Rattus norvegicus: one gene and its partners. The main gene of each other region encodes a partner of the protein of the gene in region 2 in a complex. Links are inferred from orthologs where the notes say so. Each region holds a gene or a part of one and is shown on either strand. Other genes may lie near its edges.

What was found.
Region 1: the proteins of Ush1c (region 2) and Myo7a are in contact, whole or in part, in a crystal structure (PDB 5MV9), measured with the Homo sapiens proteins. The link is inferred for Rattus norvegicus from reciprocal best matches to the Homo sapiens genes USH1C and MYO7A. Residues at the interface, in NP_001284693.1 of Homo sapiens: Glu450, Pro456, Ile457, Val461, Val462, Ser463, Tyr466, Glu467, Lys479, Gly480, Pro522, Tyr526, Asp527, Asp528, Glu529, Leu530, Thr531, Phe532, Phe533; in NP_000251.3 of Homo sapiens: Phe1946, Val1953, Ala1976, Lys1995, Lys1996, Trp1998, Gln2017, Pro2020, Lys2021, Arg2024, Tyr2026, Ser2112, Ala2113, Phe2114, Phe2115, Glu2116, Val2117, Lys2118, Ile2128, Ser2161, Gly2163, Asn2164, Thr2165, Tyr2166, His2168, Leu2181, Glu2183, Thr2184, Ser2185, Leu2186.
Region 3: Ush1c (region 2) and Anks4b share a complex: the UniProt entries of both Homo sapiens proteins name them as parts of the IMAC/intermicrovillar adhesion complex. The link is inferred for Rattus norvegicus from reciprocal best matches to the Homo sapiens genes USH1C and ANKS4B.

The regions. Positions count from the first base shown.
Region 1 is NC_086019.1:161,776,838-161,780,417, reverse strand, and holds part of Myo7a (unconventional myosin-VIIa), read left to right. Parts: intron 1-45; coding exon 46-249; intron 250-471; coding exon 472-648; intron 649-1,125; coding exon 1,126-1,215; intron 1,216-2,116; coding exon 2,117-2,244; intron 2,245-3,580. UniProt on the Homo sapiens protein: Myosins are actin-based motor molecules with ATPase activity. Unconventional myosins serve in intracellular movements. Their highly divergent tails bind to membranous compartments, which are then moved relative to actin filaments.
Region 2 is NC_086019.1:105,831,150-105,835,089, forward strand, and holds the end of Ush1c (harmonin), read right to left. Parts: intron 3,704-3,940; coding exon 3,594-3,703; intron 2,495-3,593; coding exon 2,439-2,494; intron 2,059-2,438; coding exon of another isoform or gene 1,950-2,058; intron 964-1,949; coding exon 951-963; coding exon of another isoform or gene 886-950; 3' UTR 574-885; downstream 1-573. UniProt on the Homo sapiens protein: Anchoring/scaffolding protein that is a part of the functional network formed by USH1C, USH1G, CDH23 and MYO7A that mediates mechanotransduction in cochlear hair cells. Required for normal development and maintenance of cochlear hair cell bundles.
Region 3 is NC_086019.1:183,977,348-183,981,601, reverse strand, and holds the start of Anks4b (ankyrin repeat and SAM domain-containing protein 4B), read right to left. Parts: upstream 2,801-4,254; 5' UTR 2,780-2,800; coding exon 2,616-2,779; intron 1-2,615. UniProt on the Homo sapiens protein: As part of the intermicrovillar adhesion complex/IMAC plays a role in epithelial brush border differentiation, controlling microvilli organization and length. Plays a role in assembly of the complex.

The DNA of each region.
Region 1 (3,580 bases), about 56 Mb from region 2:
GGGCCCGGCCTAACAGTTAAGACACAACTCCTCTCTGCCCATCAGGACCTGGAGCGAGGGCGGAGGGAGATGGTGGAAGAGGATGTCGATGCTGCCCTGCCCCTGCCTGACGAGGATGAGGAGGACCTTTCTGAGTACAAATTCGCCAAATTTGCTGCCACCTACTTCCAGGGCACAACCACACACTCCTACACCCGGAGGCCCCTCAAGCAGCCACTGCTCTACCACGATGATGAGGGTGACCAGCTGGTGAGGACACCTGCGGCTGGATCATGGCTCACAGGGCCAGGATGGGGTGGTGGATGCCACACTTGTCAAGTCAAGGCTGGGCTTTGGCCTGGCACCCAACCTGGGGTCAGCACATTTGTGGTGGCTGTCTATCTCTCCAGCCTCCTCTCCAAGGCTCTCTCTATGGCATGAACCACTTCCTCCGTGCTCCCCGGCTCTCTAACATGTGTACTCCACCCTCAGGCGGCACTGGCTGTCTGGATCACCATCCTCCGGTTCATGGGGGACCTCCCAGAGCCCAAGTACCACACAGCCATGAGCGATGGCAGTGAGAAGATCCCTGTGATGACTAAGATCTATGAGACCCTGGGCAAGAAGACATACAAGAGGGAGCTGCAGGCCCTGCAGGGCGAGGGCGAGGTGAGGCCACAGGGCCCCAACTGACAACTGTCTTGGGCTAGTGGGGATGATGTCAGCATGCAGCCTCAGGTAACCAGCAGAAAGCATCCTGTGGTCTAGCTCTCTCCACCTCATCCCCGCCCCAGTCCCCTACCATTCTCTGTCTACTTGGGATAATGTGTGATCATTTGCCAACTGTAAAATTCTCACCATAACTGAGGGGCCACACTGCAGACCAGACAGACTTTGCCATGGGAGACACCTCCAGAGACGCCTCACTGGGAGGCCTCAGACATTAACTATGATTTTCCGAGTCTCAGCAGAGTTGAGGATAGAGGGTGACCTCGTGGCCTTCACCTTGTGAGCATCTGTGTGGAATTCTCACACACAAACACACACACACACACACACACACACACACACACACACACACACCCCACACCACACCACGCCATAGCCCCTCTGTCTAGAGGTCTCATCCCTGTGACTATTTCACAGGCCCAGCTCTCTGAGGGGCAGAAGAAGACCAGTGTGAAACACAAGTTGGTACACTTGACACTGAAGAAGAAGTCCAAACTCACAGAAGAGGTAAGGGCTTCCTTAGGCAGCCAAGTTGCAGCACAGCTGAGCTGAGGGCCCTGGGAATAGGAGTAGGAGGAGAAGCAGATGATGCTTCTCTCTTCTGCACAGCACAGCATTGGAGCAACCACCAGACAGAAGTGTATAGAAGCACCTGGGGGAGGGGCTTCCCAGGGTGGGGCCAAGCACACACGTGAAAAGGAGGGCACTTCTGGCTGATGCATACACCATGAATTTCAACCCAGGACCTCTCAGCCTGGGAGCAGACTTCTCTGTAGTCTTTCTGAGTATTGGCACCACCACCCATCAGTCCATCTCTCAGCGTCTGAGACTGCCAAGGCCTTGTACACAGGGCTGTGTAGGCTGGGGGGGGGGGGCTGGAACAGACAGGCATGGGTTCAGATGCTATGAGACCCTCGCGTGGCCCTTTCTGTCTATGATGGAGGATCTCTTGCTGCATTTGAGTGCAATGTGGGGCTGCTTCTGTGGCTGCGTGAGGCCGAAAGAGAGACACACATCTACTGAGAATGGAGGGTGGCCATGCCAGGGCCAGGAGCCTTGCTAATTAGGTGCTTGTGAACCAGGCTGTACTTCGGTGTGAGATGGTGCTCTCACTCAGTCAGGGATGGGACATATCCTGGCTGTAAGGGTTTCCCTTGGGTGGGATTGAGGTACAGAGGGCCACAGAGAACTTACCCACGATGCAGGTGGCACCGAGCTGGTGCTCCCAGCCATGCGATGTGGTTATTAGTCTTTAAGAATGGAGCGATGACAAGCTCGTGGGCCATCCATTTGTCCCTTACTCTCTGCAGTAGCTGGCAGGGACAGCACCCCATCTATGACGCTATCTGCTCCCCGTGAGGAGCCTAGCAGGTGCAGCACCCCAGCCTCGCCTGTGTCCTTGTCCTAGGTGACCAAGAGGCTGCATGATGGGGAGTCCATGGTACAGGGCAACAGCATGCTGGAGGACCGGCCCACCTCAAATCTAGAGAAGCTGCACTTCATCATTGGCAACGGTATCCTGCGACCTGCACTGCGGTCAGTACCCACGGGGCAGTGGGACGCTGGGGCTGGGCTTCTCTAGGCGAGCCTGGGGGTCTCAGGGCAGCTGGCAGCGGCCCCAGCACCTTAGCCACAGTGGAAGCAAAAAGGGCCCGTGTTAGCTCTGTGGCTGGAGGTCATGAGACCCTAACCCGTCTCCTAAGGCATCTCTCTGTGCCTCATCTGGAAAGGTACCCACATGTGAGAGCTGAGGGAAGGCAGAACTGTGAGACAGTGGATGGAGCTAGCAGACTGTAACCTGCAGCTCATGGTTCTCATGGCCCCTCCTGAGCTTTCTGATTTAAACCCACTGCAGCTAGCTCACCCTCGGTGCGGTTGGCCCAGGCTAGCGGCTAGGTTTTTCTATTCCTAGAGACCCTGCTATTGTTTCCATCCCCGGGTCAGGACAAGCCTCTACCGATGGCCTGGGTGTTGGAGACTTGGTGGGAAGACTCTGGAGTCACCTATACAATTAGCCCAGACAGATGCGGGGACCTGGGCTTCTCGGGGAACTGGCTTATGTGACCATAGGTAGAGACTTGGGATGCCAAGAGCTTGTGTTTATATTGGGCGTGTGGGCAAGAGACAAGTTCCATCTTCCCAATGGGGAAACTGAGGCCCAGCATTAGGAAGAGACTTTCCACGGGTTATTTGGACTTCTAGACCACCTACCTATCACTCTCACCTCTCTCCATTGTTCTTCAAGGCCAATTGAGCTACTTGAGCCAGACGCCACCCAGGGCCACCAGAAGGGAGAGATGGCCACAGGTTATCTGTCTGCCACATCCGAAGTAGACTTCAGGAGTCTTGTGCCAGGAGCCCCAGGCCACAGAAGGCTAGAAAGTGGACTCCCTTCTCTGGCTTAGCCACTTCCACCTCTGTTGGTTGAGTGGGGCCAGATGGGAGGGTCCAGCACAGGGTTCCCACTGATCTGTGGCAAATCTGACATCGATGAGCTGTGCTAGCCTCGATTACAGGCCTGATTGTTGTGGGAGGGCTGCTTGTCTGCTTTGGGTGTTTTAAATGACCCTTGTTCTGTGAGATGATTTGGGTCATGGGCAAGATGTGTGAGCATGTGTGATGCATGTGATAAAAAGATGACAACTTTAATTTTATTGGCTCATGAACTCTCCCAATTAAGAAGAAGTTACTGAATTAGACAATCCTGCCTCTTACCTGACACTGTCCTCAGAGAAGAGGAGTACCACATCATTGTGTGTGTGTGTGTGTGTGTGTGTGTGTGTGTGTGTGTGTGTGTGTGTGTGTCTGTCCCCTGGGTGGTTAAGCCCTCTTGGAGCTCCCAAGACCAAGAAAATGCTGTTAAGAGAAGATG
Region 2 (3,940 bases):
TAAAACACCGCCTGGTCCAGTCCCCTTGGACTTCCAGCTTCGGCTGTCGCCTGGGATCTGCCCTAAGCCCTACTTTATACACGCCATCTATCAGGATCTTTCTGATTCTCGCAGACAAGAATCTGATCAGTGCTGCGTATTTTGGGTTTGATTTGGGATAACAACTCTCTCCAGGGACTATCCGAGAGGTCCTGTCTTGTCTCTACTGATACCCTCTTTTCTCTTCCCTAAGGTTCTGCTGGGTTATATTCTGTGCAGGGGTGCACCTTATCCTCCTCCCCCATCCTGGGAACCTCAGGAAACACAGCATAGTTTCCGATAACAGCTGGGCCACTCTACGCCTCCAGGTGCCCCTTTGAGAGAATAGGGCCAAACCCTGCTACACACCTTCATGTCTCTCCTCTCTGCCAGCGACACCCTGAAACCCAGCTTGGGTCCTGCTACCTCCTGAGCTCTGAGCCAACCCTGGGTATCGGTCCTCTGTGTAGCATGTTTAGATCACAGCTGTGGGGCCACAACCTTCCGGTTTTCCACTTAACTGCTATCCACACACATTCGTCCTCAGAGGCTGGAGACGGAGTCAGTGTATTTATTAGTGAGTTCACCATCAGGTTTCCAGCAGGGATTACAGTAGGAGGGAGTGCAATAGGGAGGTGCAGGACCTGGGCGCCCTTAGGTCTCAAGAAAGGAATATTCTAGAGCAGGTACGGCCAACTTAGAGCTGGAAGAAATGGGAGTGGAATCCCACAGACCACTCCAGAACAGCAGTTGGTCCTTGCTCCACCTTTTGCTGGCTTTCAGAGGAGGGGCCAGGTCACAGGGCTTCGGGGGACAGTTTCCAGGGAGATTTTCTACACCTGGTGACTGGTGTCTCTCAGGCTGACTTCAGGGGCTGGGTGCCGAGCTTGCCAGCTTCCAGGATGGGTCTGGCTGGCTTCTGTCTCTGGACTTTAAAAGAAGGTTCTGTGGAGAGGAGGAAACAGATGGGGTAGACAGGACGTGTATATGGCCCTCTGTTCATGGCTGGCCCCACCGTAGCAGCACAAAGCCCTTCCAGCCTTCAGGGGCTCCCTCTCAGTTCAGCCCTGAGTAGAAACACACCAGCCACAGCACCCAGGAAGTCAGGGAGGAAGACAAAGGGGTGTCGGTATAGGAAGGGGGACGGGAGCAGCAGGAAAGGCAGGAATCGCTTGTTAAGAAGAGCAAGCAGCGACAGAGCAGACATTGAGGGCCATGGTAGCCAGGTCCACTGTTGTGGTTCATGAAGCATGATCATGACCAATAGTTTGGAAAAATTGTGACAGAAAGAAAGCAGCCATGTTTGGAGCTATGCTGGTTGTGGTCATTGGGCCACAATCAACTCCAGTGTCACAGCCACCAAACCCAAGACACAGATAGGGAAGCACTCCAAAACTTGGCTCCCTGGCACAGCAGAGGGAGCCCAGATCAAGGCGGGATGGAGACCAAGGAGAATGAGGGCTGAGCAGGGGAGCCCGCCAACCCTGGTTCTTTGGACCAGCTTGAGGAGGTTGAATGGCATGGCTCTGCCTGAGCAGGGCGTGGGGATCCTGCAGGGGTTCTGGTGGGAAATAGGTCCCTGTGAGGAGATTCAGGAGGCTTTAGTGTTCTTCAGCCTTGTCCAGCAGTGGGGAGACACTGTTGTTCTCAGTGCTGCCCTGCTCCAACCAGGTTCTGAGTGTGACCCAAAGCGGGTCCCAGGACCCGTGGGCATCAGGACTCTCAGGTCCTAAGCCAGTGCCCCCAGCTGGTCTTTGTGTACCCCCATAAGCTCTAGAGTCTCAGCCATTGACAGCAGCCCCAAGAGAGGCATTCCTGCAGGCCGCCTCTGTCTTCCTCTAGACACCAGTCCAAAGAACCTGCCAGGGTCATGGGCAGCACATGACACACAGCGTGGGCAGACAGGGCCCCGAGGCTGCCTGCCTAGTCACCGTGGGCTCCAGCTGCAGGAAAAACCCGTGTCTACACACGGGCTCATAGGCTTCAAGCTGCTTTCGGACCGGCTGGGGGCTTTCGGCTGCAGAGGAGGGAAGAGAGGAGCTACACATGCAGGGTGGAGCAGGAGACAAGAGGGAGGGCCCAGTTACTGCTGGGGGAGGCTCGGCAGGCTCTCACCCTGCACTGAGTGTCTGTCTCTTCAGTACTGCCTAGGCCCTGGTTCTGCTATAGACACTATAGAATTCTCAAGCTATATGGAATGAGCCACTCTAGGCAGCTGAGGATGGGCCAATGACTGTGAGCCAACACTACTCAGGCCCATGACTCTGGTCCAGGGTATCTCTAGCCCAGGGTGTTCTTGGCCCCATGACTACCAGCAGATGTGTGACCAGGATACCCCTTTCACTGGGTGAGACTGAAGAAAGGTGGCTAGGATCCTGGGAGGGAATGGGGTGCAAGGGCAGGTGCCTGTTCACACTTACAGTTCATCATCGTATTCCTTGGGGGGACAGACGGCAACCACAAGGTCTATCCAGTCCTGTAGGGAGAAACCGTGTGACCGCATAGGACACACGGAGAAGCATGTGATGGATCTGCCTGGTGTTCTGTTTCACTCCTGGGCATCGTAGCCCAGGGCTAGCTAGGGCACAGTGAGGGCTAGGGCTCCCTTATGGAGACCCACACTCTAGGAAAGCGCTCCCCCTGGAAGCGGCCCTGCTAGACCCTCAGACGTTACCAAGCTCCCAATTGTGGATCTATAGACCAGGGCTGGGGCAGCCACTTGAGGATCATTTACGAACTCACAGCCGTACCCCTTATAGTCTCGAGTACCACTGACAAGCAGCACCCCTACCCCTGAGCCATAGCAAACACGGGCTCGCTTGGCCTCTCTGATCTTGACAGTCCCCTCGATGGCATCTCCACCGTTGTTGGCTTGCCCATCACTGTCCACCCTGGCTTTGGCTGGCAAATTTTGAAAGAGCACCAATCCCCAACCCCATGCCAAAGCTCCTAAGATTGAGCTGAACTCTCCCCGCCCTGTAACCTCCCTCCATCCACTGAAGGAGCACAGAACACAGCCGCTCCCTCTGTCCTAATCCAGCCATTCAGATCACCAAAGACGATCATCGTGTTACCCGTTGGTCTTCTCTTCTCCACATCCTGTCATGTGGGTCCCAGGCCCATCTGGTCAGCTTCCTCGGCACTGAACTTAATACCTCAGGCTCAGCTGCCTGCACACAGTGGCACAGGTTGTGCACTGCACAGCGCGAGTGGGTAGCATCTACATTACAGTCTGTAGGAGGGCACCCCCTTCAGACTGTGCAGTGCACATCCCGAGAGACTCCATGTGGGAGCCCTGGTCCGTGTGGGTATCTGCTAAGCATGGAGCAGGCTACATCCACGCTTGCATCTGCCCTCTGGGCTGTTCACTCTCTAGCAGCCCCCAGTACCCTTTTGATTCTTCCTTAGCACACACACACTTAAGAGAAGACCTTGGAGGTTTTTTTCCCCCCATCTCCAGCTTTTCAGGTCCAATCCACTGTCTGGACCTTGGGTACCAGCCCTGGACTTGGCCATGCCATTGTAAGACCAGGGTCTGAGGCAGGTGGTGAGGGAAAAGAGGGGCTCGCTCTCACCCCGCCCTGATTCCAGGCCTTCTGCAGGGCAGCCTCAGCCTCAGCCAGGGTGTAGTCCGTCACGATCTTGCCGTTGATGGCCATGATCTCATCCCCTTTCACAACGCCACCTTCAGGAAGAAGCAGACAGGTGTTCACCTGGACCACTTGTGACCTGTGCCTGGTTCAGGGGTCTCTGTGGCTCATTACTGTGGGGCAGTGGAAGGGGCCACACCCTGGGCTCCTGAAAGCTCTTGAAAGGCAAAATAGGCCCAGTTCCTCAAAGGGCCCTCCTGCAGGTCCTCTCTAGGCTCTCTAGAGCCATTAAACCACAGAGGAGTCCTTGGCATCCCCTAATCTGCACAGTG
Region 3 (4,254 bases), about 78 Mb from region 2:
CATAGACATACTTACACACACACATACACACACAGACACATATATACACACATAGACATAGACATACACACACATAGGCATACTTACACACACATAGACATACTTACACACACACACATACACACACAGACACATACACACACAGACACACACACATACACACATACACACACAGACACATACATACACACACACACACACACAGACACACACACACAGACATAGACATACACACACACATTGACATACTTACACACACACATAGACATACTTACACATACACACATACACACACACACACATAGGCATACTTACACACACATAGACATACTTACACACACACACATACACACACAGACACATACATACACACATACACACACACACACATAGGCATACTTACACACACATAGACATACTTACACATACACACATACACATATATACACACATAGACATACTTACACACACACACAGACACACACAGACACATACACACACACATAGACACAGACACACACACTTTTATATAGACATATAAAAGTGGGGCAATGTTACAGACACGCAGCTCACAAAGACGAAAGTGCATGGCAGCTCAGCATTGGCGTTTTCATCCTCACCAGGAACCCCGCCTTCACCATGTAAAGGGGTTCCTTGTCAAAGAAAGGAACTTGCTTTTCCAGAATTTTGTTCGCGTGCATCTTCTCTCTCCTACTATGTGAGGGCTCCGTCCCTGTCCCCCTCACCCCAGATGTGGCAGCAATAAGGAGCCAGCATGGAAAGATCTCTCCCTGCACTGAACTTCTTGCCAACTTGATCTTAGACTTCCTGGCTGCTCTTAAAACTATAGAATAAGTTTTATCCTCTGTAAATTACTTTGCCCGAGGCATTTTGTGATCATAGCACAAGTGCAGGCAACTGACCCAAAAACTTCAGTTCTGAGAATTTACACTCGGGGAAAAAAATATGGACAAGGACTTATGTGGAGGAATAATCACCACAACACTGCAAACTAGAAAAAAAGAATTATGTATCAAACAGGGGGATAAACTAAGAAATAAATTTGCTGATTATAATATTAAGGTATCCTTATAAATTAAATTAAGTGTGTTATGTATTTAATTGCTATAACAAAATTGAGACATTAACTCAAAAGAAGAAAGACCTATCTTGAATAAAGTTTCAGAAGATTTGGTATAGAGAGTAGGCGTGCTCTTTCTGACATGTTCCCCAACTCAATGAGGTGTCCATATCTACAATCTGTTTAATCCAAACAGATGTTGACCCTCCTCCTCCTTTACTTGCCACATCCAATCACTATCTGACATCCAAACTGTCACTCAAAGCTCCGTGTCTACTCACACCCAGTGATACCATGTTAGTTCACTTTTACCTTGAACGTCCCTAGACATTCTCTGTGACTAATGTACAATCGCCAGAACGATATTCATAAGCATAAATCTATGTGACTGCTTCCTCTGTAAATAGAGGGTGTGGTTTCTAGGCTCTCAGGAGGAGATTCAAGTCCTGAACAGAAGTCTCAAGGCCCCTGATAGTCCAGTCTTATGGCTTAGGTCTGTTCCTGTGCAAGTCATGTCCAGCCAAACTCAACGTCTTCTACCCTTGGAATGCACAGTGCTCTCTGCCTTAGGGGGAAAGCACTTCCCTCAGCCTTGATCAGCTCCCCGTCTTTCTCTACTAGCTTAATTTCCCTTCCCTGGAACAGACTTTGTCACATCTACCATAAGCTGCTTGCTTGGCTTCCCCTCTCAGATCTGAGTGCCACAAGAGCACCAGGATGTTTTGTTGATAGGGACCATCTGGACAGCACCAAAAATATATGAGAAGAAAAATCAGAAGAGGAGGGAGTGGAAGAAAGAGAAAGCAGAAGAAGGGGAGAGAAGGGGGAGAGGTGGACTGTCACCTACCAGATGCTAAATATGCACTGTACTGGAGTCATTTGACTCCCTTACTCTTTACCTCTCCCTCTTCCCCCCACTCTTCTCACTCACCCAAACTCCTCTTTTGCTCCATTTCTCTCCATCTAAGTGTAACTGCCTACCCTGACTAGCTCTCTGGCAATGAGCAGGGTGAGCAGAATAAAAGAGTTAGCAAAGACTGGAATCTAAAGCTAAGGGATGGGGTGTGTGTGTGTGTGTGTGTGTGTGTGTGTGTGTGTGTGTAAAGATGGACTGAAGACTCATGTTATAGATGGCAAAGCCAGAAGAACCAGGAGTTTACATCAAGGCTGAGTACTTGTAAAGATAGATTTTAGTGACAAGATTGGAAAAGTAAAATAAAGCCATGTCCTAACCAAGGAAGATCACTGAACCAATAAGCATGGTGACCTCCTTTTAAAGAGTTAACCATTTAAATTCAATGGAGGTGATTTTCAGGGCATATAGTTACAATCCACACCCTACCCACCTCTGCCTGAGTGACTTCTAAATGGCTGTTTCACAGGGAAAGAAACCATACCTAGCTTAGTCTTTCTTTCTCTAAAAGCCAACTACTTAGAGGACCTACAAAGAAGCAAAATGTCTATGTGGACATCTCTGTCTCTCACTGCCAGAGTGGCATTCCCCACCCAGGATGCCCTAACAGGGATCACTCACCCTCTACTGCAGATTATTTCTAGGGCCTCAAGGTTGCCGTGGTAGGCTGCCAGGAGAGTGGGTGTCATGCCATCCTCATCTGAGAGATTTAGATCACGCTTAGTGGCCTCCTTCAGAAGTTCCAGGTAGCTGTCACTTGCTGCTTGGTGATAGCGGGTAGACATTTTTCTGCCCACCAGAGCTTGTCCAGGTGTCTTTGTCTAGGCAGTGCTGGTCACACAAGTCTTCCAACGGGGCTGGTTAATCAGTGACAGGGAGTATTACTCCAGGCCAAAGCTCACTTCACCCTCGCTTCTTGGAAGGCATCCAGAAGGCCTACAGTCCTGGACTTGGACCTTTACTTTTAAGACCAACCATAACAATGAACATTGAGGCCTCTGGTGTCTCTCATGCATGTGATGAAGCACATTTAATCTTTACTGTGCCCATTAACAAGTGTCAGATGTGATACTGACCACCTAGGTACAGAATATGGGAAATAATCAAAAAACTCAAAACTGGTTAAGTTCACTGGTATGGGAGAAGGAGTGTTTTAGTAGATTTTTACAGGTATAGTCTGTACAAGTTGAATTTAACCATTTGAAATATAAAATCAAAGATCTGGGTAAATTCACAGCTGTGAAATCTTTACCATAACAGTGGAGGACAGAAGGCTGATGGCAGGCTGGAAGACAAACAGGTGGTTCTCCAGGAACTCCCACAAAAAAAAATAAAAAAATAAAAAAGTTTGGTCTAGAAAGCTTCACCACTTTCCAGTGTAGAATGATATAAATAAGGAAGGCCAATCTAAACCAAGTATAACCACAGGCTATACCATGTGAACCCAGTATCCTCTGGAAATCAAATATCAGCCAATCAAGGCTACCCTCATTTGCATGGTGGAGATTGCTGTGGACAGCTTCAACAGATCCCATTCATGTACAGCACTATTTCATGTAGGTGGTCTTTTTTTGTCAATGAGTTTATTAAATTCTAGTTTTGTCAGACTGGTAAATTCAAACACATGCCAATTGCCCTCTTGTAAACTCAGTTTTGCAATGTTTTCTCCACACTAAAACCATTCCTCAACCCACTCCAACTCAGACTCTCCCATACCACATAGAAAAATGAATAAATGTAACAACAGAACTTTTAAAAGATATCCTTTGTGTTTGTTAGCAACTAATTCCTACTCCCAACCCTAGGAAACCATGAATCAATTTTCTCTCTATATAGCTGCAATTGTGAGCACTTTATGTCACTGGAATCCTGTGACATAGTTTTGTGGCCTTTATTTAAAAGGAATATGTTTTGAAGGATTTTTTAAATTGTTGAATAATATTCTTCTATACTAGCATATCAAATACCCTTTATCATTTAATTCTCATACTGGTTGGATGTTTAGGTTGTGTCCATTAAGTTAATGATGAAAAATGTTATTAAGAACAGTCACATAGATGTTCCTGTGTAAACATATATTTTTACATCTCTTGGGCATATAGCAAGGTGTGGAATTTCTGGGTTTTGTTGTAATTTCTATTTAGCTTTAAGGAATTGCCAAATTGAACTTGTAGTGTTTTATAGAACAGTAGGAAACTAGGGTTGACTGGTGTGTTGTGTACTTCAGAATAGTCAGAGGAGAGGATTGCACAGAGAAGTG